2 linked regions of the Oreochromis niloticus genome follow. The protein of the gene in region 2 interacts with the protein of the main gene of each other region in a biochemical or structural test. Links are inferred from orthologs where the notes say so. Each region holds a gene or a part of one and is shown on either strand. Other genes may lie near its edges.

The links.
Region 1: the proteins of fen1 (region 2) and hus1 form a complex in vitro, tested with the Homo sapiens proteins (2 studies listed by BioGRID). The link is inferred for Oreochromis niloticus from reciprocal best matches to the Homo sapiens genes FEN1 and HUS1.

The regions. Positions count from the first base shown.
Region 1 is NC_031974.2:193,549-197,303, forward strand, and holds the start of hus1 (checkpoint protein HUS1), read left to right. Parts: upstream 1-1,330; 5' UTR 1,331-1,465; coding exon 1,466-1,517; intron 1,518-2,159; coding exon 2,160-2,287; intron 2,288-2,404; coding exon 2,405-2,581; intron 2,582-3,005; coding exon 3,006-3,113; intron 3,114-3,203; coding exon 3,204-3,278; intron 3,279-3,755. UniProt on the Homo sapiens protein: Component of the 9-1-1 cell-cycle checkpoint response complex that plays a major role in DNA repair. The 9-1-1 complex is recruited to DNA lesion upon damage by the RAD17-replication factor C (RFC) clamp loader complex.
Region 2 is NC_031974.2:24,375,426-24,379,180, reverse strand, and holds the start of fen1 (flap endonuclease 1), read right to left. Parts: upstream 2,386-3,755; 5' UTR 2,249-2,385; intron 1,813-2,248; 5' UTR 1,800-1,812; coding exon 1,718-1,799; intron 1,566-1,717; coding exon 1,463-1,565; intron 1,311-1,462; coding exon 1,208-1,310; intron 1,113-1,207; coding exon 1,049-1,112; intron 889-1,048; coding exon 779-888; intron 445-778; coding exon 308-444; intron 61-307; coding exon 1-60. UniProt on the Homo sapiens protein: Structure-specific nuclease with 5'-flap endonuclease and 5'-3' exonuclease activities involved in DNA replication and repair.

The DNA of each region.
Region 1 (3,755 bases), about 24 Mb from region 2:
CCATGGGACTCAGAGCCTTTAGTTGTTCTGCCCCGAGACTTTGGATGCACTTCCACTTGCTCTACGGACCACACACTTTTAAATCCCATCTCAAAACCCATCTATTCAGAATTGCATACACCTGATTCTGTCTTAGTCCATTTTTACCTTGCTCAGCTTTTATACTTTCATGCCAGTTTGTTGTTGTTGTTGTTTTTTTACCTTATGTCTAAATTTTATTTTGCCACATTTATTATATTGTATTGTTGCTATTCTTCTTGTGCTATTGTAAGGTGACCTTGAGGGCCTTAAAGGCGCTTATAAATAAAATGTATTATTATTATTATTATTGTTTTTGCAGCTGACTGTGATCGACTGAGGTGTTTTTCAGCTGATAAAGAGACACAAATATTTTACCTCCTTATTTTTAGAAACACGTTCAAAGAAAATCACAAATGATGTGTGTCAGCGATAAAATGAACTCAATTCAGAAAACTCAGAGACGATAAATGAGCACATGAAAAAGAACAAACATGATCACAGTGTGATGCTTCAGCAATGGGAATAAACTTGTTTCCGTCTGATGGTAAAATGTAGGTTTGTGTTAAATCTTCAAAGACACATGAGATTTACACGCCTGATGTCACTTAAATTTATATGAGAAAATGTGTCCAAATCAATAATTTATATGAATAAAAATATAAATAAATACACTCAGCGGCACTTTAGGATGCTTATTTATTTGTTAAGTATTTTGAAGAAAAATATCTTTAATTTAATGCATGTAGACAAGCTTTAGTCTAATATTCTAAAAAAAAATTAAATTAAATTAAAAAAAACATTGAAAAGTTGCCACAAAATAAGGTTTTTAAAAGTTGTTGCCTTTTTTCTCTCTGGAAGTTGAAGTTCTTTTTTTTTACAGGATTGTCTGAGTATAATTTTTCTGATAAGATCCTAATATTACCTCACAGAGTAAAAATGAGCCACAGCATGCACAGGCTGCTGTTTCTGAGGGTTTTTCGTGTTTTTATTGGTCTAGAACAGGGTGTAAAACTGTTATATAGTGACCAATATTTAACGAGACATCATATCTTTAAGTGTGAAGAACATTCTGTGTTCACCAAAAAGCTGACTCTAGGTGAAAGCTGCCAAACGGATCTTTGAAGTTATTTTCTATCCCAGTTACAAAAAGATAATGAACAGACTGAAAAGTGTGATTTCAACAGTATGTAAGTAAAAATATAGACCGCACTGGTCCGCTACAGTTTTCTGCCCCTGTACAGACCATTTAAAGGGCCCTGTTCTGGTCCCCGTGCCACATATTTAATTCTGCTGGTTGTTTTCTCCTTTCGTTGGGCGGAAAGATTAACAGTTTCCATGTGGCTGTTGTTTCCGTCGGACCGTAGACACAGACGGACCAAACAAATGAAAAAGTTCCCCGCCTGAAGTCAAAGCGGAAGATTAAATTCTGCTGCCCGGGGGAAAAATGAAGTTTCGGGGGAAAATCATCGACATCGCCTGTTTGAACCACTTCACCCGTGAGTCTCAAACATCTGTTTGTACCGAGGGCCGAAGCTAAGCTGTTAGCTTCCCTCCAAATGCTGCACAGAAACTGTGAAAATAAAAGTACACCTAATTTAAAGTTCCTGAAGCGGGACTTTGTTCTTTCTTTAACTTTTCTGACATGTTAGGAAATGTCTGTAGTTCGGTTTACAGCATGTGCTCAAAGAGCCGCAGACTTTGACAGTTTAACTGGTGGTTTGTCCTGATTAGTGTTATCTAAATTCAACGAAATCTACGTGGAGTCTTGTGCAGGGCTATGAGTGCACATTTGGACCGATTCATGAACAACCACAAAAATATCAGCTGTATGTTTATGCTGAATGAGTAATCTGTTATTTAATGGCTCTGTGGAGCTGCTCTAGTTTTCCACTTTTCATTTTTAGCTCATTTTTGTTTTTGAAAGTAAGTTTTAATGTTAAAATGTCTAGTTGTACTTAGTTTTCAATAGTTGTAGTATTAATTGTTGTTTTTAGTGTGTTTATCAGGGTCATGTTATTCAGAAGTGCAGATCAGATACCTAATTAAACTAAACTATTAACTACTATTATTAAAACTAACCGAGTCTGCGTGTGACTGATTAAATATTGCTCCTGGTTCACACCTCTGATCTTTCTCAGGAGTCGTCACCACCATCTCAAAGCTGACAAAGATGTGCGTCCTGCGGCTGACCCCGGACAACCTGTTCTTCGTTCTGTCCGGTAAAGTGGCCAACGGCGGCGTCAGCATGTGGTGTGAGCTGTCACAGGTGAGAGCCGACGCTCCGGCTTCCAGCTGCTAAGAAAATAAACTCAGGAATGAGTCTGAGATGATCAGGACCTATTAAATTATTTCAGTACCCTGATCCCGTCCTTCCTCCCCGCAGGCCAACTTCTTTGAGGAGTACCAGATGGAGGGCGTGTCCTCCGAGGACAACGAGATCTGTCTGGAGGTGACTCCGGAGAATCTGTCCAGAGCCCTGAAGACGGTCCAGAACGCCAAAGCGGTCAAAGTCAAACTGACCAAGAAGCACTGCCCCTGCCTCACCATCGCCGCCGAGCTGGTGAGAGCATCCGAGAAAAAACTCAGTTTACCTGAGAAGTCTGTCTCTGCTACAGCTCGAATTATATAGGTTTAATTTCACATTACTATTCATAATATCGGACGATACGCTGCATCTGGGGATAAGTTTATCTACGGCCAGGTCTCCGAACCAGAATCCAGCCACAGGTTTATCAAACAGTTACATTTATAATGTGGAGTGGTTCACTCCAGTGTGAACCAAGGCCAGAAAACAATAAACGCAGCTGAGGTGTCGACCAAACCCTGAGAGGAAACTAAACAAGAGTCAAATCTAGAAGCCAAAAGCAGAGCCATAGACAGCTCATATTGGCTCGTCTTGTTTTTCTGGCTGCTTTTAAAACTGGTTTAACTCATTTGAACCTTTAATCTGAGAAACCTGAGCCCTCTTCCTCTGTGCCGCCCAGCCCACCCTGTCCAGCGTCAGTCGAGTCGTCACTCACGACGTCCCCGTTGACGTCATCCCCCGGAGACTGTGGCACGAGTTCAAAGAGCCGAGCATGCCGGACTTTGATGTAAGCGAAGCTTCCGAACACCAAATCATCCTTTTTATGAGCGCTGACTTTGTTTTGTCCATCACGGGTTGTGTGTTTGTGTCACTGCAGGTCAGCATCTACCTCCCTCCCCTGAAGACCATGAAGAACATCGTGGACAGGATGAAGAACCTCTCCAACTTCCTGGTAGGAGGTTAAACATGTTCAGATCAAACACGGACTCATACAGAGAAGATCTGCAGCTTTATTTCTCTGGATTTGGGTCATTTCAGTAACAGCTGTTGCCGCGGTTACGTGTAACAAACTGCCCGGCATTTTTTTAACATGACACTAAATTCCTTTCGTTTGAAATATGTGAAGAAACACATTTTCCTGTATTTCAGCCCTCCGCCCGGCCCGATGTAGGAGGACAAATATTGGATTGAATGTGAACACGATGTTTATGTCAGCTTTTCCTGAGAAGTCAGATTTAGACATTTTTGTCAACAATGCAGAAAAAATAATGTCATGTTTAAACTCGGGCCTCATGTTACCTGCGACAGGTGACACACAGAACCTGAAGCCTTATGTCGCTTTAGATGTTTAGATGAAATATGCTGAAATATTTGGAGCGTTTTCATCTTTTTACCTGCGGTCGGACAGGAAGTGAAGGTGTTAACACCT
Region 2 (3,755 bases):
TTGGTCAGGCCGATGTCCTGCAGGATGCGACTGAAGTGGAACTCTTGAATAGGAAGTTTCCTGAAACAATAATAAACAGCTTGTAGTTGACTATTTATGTTGCATGGCGACTATCAAACTACCAAATCCTAAAACCTCATAACTTGGTTCAAATTTATGAATTGGAAGTGTGAACTTATTCATTTGAACCATCTCATATACACATATATTTATATGGCAAACATAAATCTGATGTAGAATTAAGGCAACAACTTTAGGTCATTTCCACTCTGCTAATATCTCTGTCAAAGGTGATGCCGGTTCATACTTTGCTTCACTGGCCGTGAGATGTCTGAGAAGGATGTTTGTCCCAAAGGTCAGCCCGTCCATATCCTCTGTTGCCGTGGCAAACACCTTCCCTGCTTTAACCAGAGCAGCACAGCTGGCCTCAGCTTCACATGGAGCCTTTAAGGAAATGAAAAAAATAAATTAAATTACATCTAACAGAATGGTACACACAATCTGTCTTAATGCAACTACCTCAAACTGCACTGCAGAATCCCAATTCATGTATATTTTTAAGCTTTAGGCATAATTTAATTACATTTCTGTCTTTCTGTGTGAATGACCCCAGCTGGACTGTATAACTGTAACTTGGTAAGGGTAAGAGGATAAGAAGCCTGTAACATTGTAGGAACACTAAAACACAAATCATTCATGGGAGGGATGTCTCCAAACTGTGTAATAACTGTGCAAATATTCTTGATGCCACAAGAATGTGTAGAAATAGAAATCTCACCTCAATGTAAGGCACTCCCATCAGGGTCAGGAGCTTCTTACACTCATCATTATGCTGCTTCGTGACTTTAACCAGACGCTTAGTGAACTTGTCAATGTTCTCTTGCTCCCCTGGTTTGAGAGAGAAAAACATCCAATTAGACTTTCATGCCCAAAGTAAAACATGTTCACAGACTTTCCTATAATACTTGTGATATAGTCTGAGTCCAAGTGTGGTTTAAAAACTAGCAACTTCCAACAACCCCCCCCCCCCCCCCAGAAAAGTCTTTACCAATTTCTTGGGCCTGGGCAAGCATCTTCTCAGCTTCGGCTCTCCTCTCCCCTCTTTTCTCAAGCTGGAAGATGAAGACACAAGCAGAATAAGAGAGAGCTGTCAGTACAAATGTTTCCATTTGCAGATGGGTGAGGGCCAGAGGAAATCCTTACTCACCTCTGCTGACTTGAGCTGTGGGGGCTTGCCGTCAAACACATACACAGGTTTGATTCCATGTTCCAACATGCGAATGGTGCGGTAGAACATTCCCATTAAGTGGCTTGAAGAAAGGAGTAAAGGCAAAAATCATTCCTGTGTGTTCAGACCTAAGTTACAAATCACTGAGGTTAAACAGAGGAACTACTGCATCTATGAAGGATCTACAATTAGGTCTTCTTATTCAATTTTAAATGTTTATTGTTGCAGCAGTACCTTGTTGTCTCTCCATCTTCATTCTGCAGAACGTTACCATCTTGTCGCACAGCGATCAGAAACTGGTAGATGCACATAGAGGCATCAATAGCAATTTTCCTGCCTACAGAAGGTGAAAAGAGGTGCTCATTCAACAATGACATAAAGAGTTAGCATTCCATCATGCATACTACATACTGTATGTTGCAACAAATTGAGGGTAGACTGAAACTCATGCATCACTGATGTATAAGGAGTGTAATCTGGAACAGTTACCAAAGTAGTTCTTTATGTCTTGCTCTTTAATGGCACCAGGGGCCTGGTCAGCAATTAGCTTGGCAAGTCCGTGTATTCCCATTGTGTCAGAAAATCTGAGAAAAAAAGAGAGAGAGAGTGAAGCTCTGTGGTTAACATGCTGTGTCATTTCCATCCCCACTGCATTTCACAAAGGCCCCTATCACTGGTACAGGTCGGGTCTGCAGAAGCTTGAGAAAACAAAGAGGTCACAGTACAAGTTGTTTACAAATATGAAGCTCTTTTTTTTTTTTAACGGAGGCTTGATGTCAATTAAAAGACGAGCTCCGCCTCATTTGTTATCTCTCAGCAATGTGTGTGCCAGGTTTGTGAATTTACAATGATCTTTAAATCGACGAGTTCATGTAAGCAAACTGCCGAGCAGAAATGTATCCTGGCTTTGATCTACTAGTGTGTACCAGCTGACTTTAATGAAAATGCCACAGGATGCAGCAATCTACTATCAAAGTTAGCTTGCAGGTTATATATTGTTAACATTTACAACGGACTCACCAATTTAGTAAAACACCTCAGCTCGTGCAGCCGCTCCACGTCCTAGCGCGCGAGGAACTGACTGTTTCGCGGGAAATCAAATAGCAGGCATTTTCTATCGATCTACCGAGCGCCTCACTTCCAGGTACTCCGAAAAACCGTGCATCGATAGTGCAAGGTTGATTAATCAGCCCTGAGTTCCGACACGGAAGACCCGCAAAGGCACTGATTGGTTATTTACTGTTGAAGGAAATCCGGTTTATAGGAAAAAGGGGGAAAAAATAACACCGTCGAAAGCCGCGAACTCCCACCTTTTAGTTCATAATTTCCAGAGGCGTTAAAGACCGTAAATACTCCACGTTTATTTTACATTGCTTGTGAGTTAAATTTGTCACCGGCTGGGATTAACCGGTAAGATTTCAGGTGTATTCTTGTTTCTCCGCCCACTCCGGAAAACTCAGCCGAGTCGTCGTTATTTTTATTTTCTAAGGTGACGTGGAGTCGGAGCTCTTCTTCTTCGTCCACACTGGCCCATGTGTGAATAAAAGTACTCAGTGTACCCGGATATGAACGTAGTGATATTACGTTGACACAAGATATCAAGAATTTCCAAGATGCTCGGCTGTAAGGCTGAATCTTCACACTGAGCTCCACTGTAGCGGAGAAGAGAGCAGCCTGCTGGGGCCTGGAGTCCAAAGAAGCCGGCGGACAGACAGATTTTGTTGGATCTGGAGCATCGGGACGGACGAACGGTAGATCCGATTGTGCTGATTTCGTTGTTGTAGTCTTTTTTAGCGAGCATGTGCTTATTTGGAGTAAAACAGCGTTGATGTGGATGAGTCGCTTGTTTTACTTAAATTAAGGAGGCCCCCTTTGATTATAATCATGCTGCTGTCCACAGAAACAGGACACAGCTTGTAGTGTAGCGACCTTGCTCTTACTGCTTACTGCAGTTGTTGTATATACTATTACTTATCTCACTGTGTGAGGCATTTCTGCGTGTTTGCTGCTATTATTCATTCAACTGATTTAACTCTTTTGGCTTGAGTCTTTCTGAATACTTCGTGGGCTTCGTATGTAGTCTTGTAATCAGTAAAAAGTTCAGATGTGCATAGAGCTGTGATGCTATTCTTTAGTTCGTCACAAGGGACGATCAAAAAGTGATCTGGCTTATATCAAAGGCATTGCAACCTTACCATTCAGACCAAATTTGCATTGCTGTGAAATTCAACACTAATGCCACATCAGCAATAATTCTAGGTCGCCCTTCTAAAGTTCTCCTTCTATCACTTGCATAAAAAAATGTGAGGATTGTGGTTTTTCTGGAAATGTAGTTGATAGGGAACACGTTTGTGTGCTTTGTAGAGTATGCAAATGAAAGGGGAGCCGTGGCATTGTATCATCATGCGTCACCATTCCAACGCAAACTTAATACATGTTCATATGCAAGTTAAGCATACCATGAACACTAATGTTTGTCTAATATGCTTTGAAATTGAAAGCAACTCTGAAACTCTGCACCTGGATG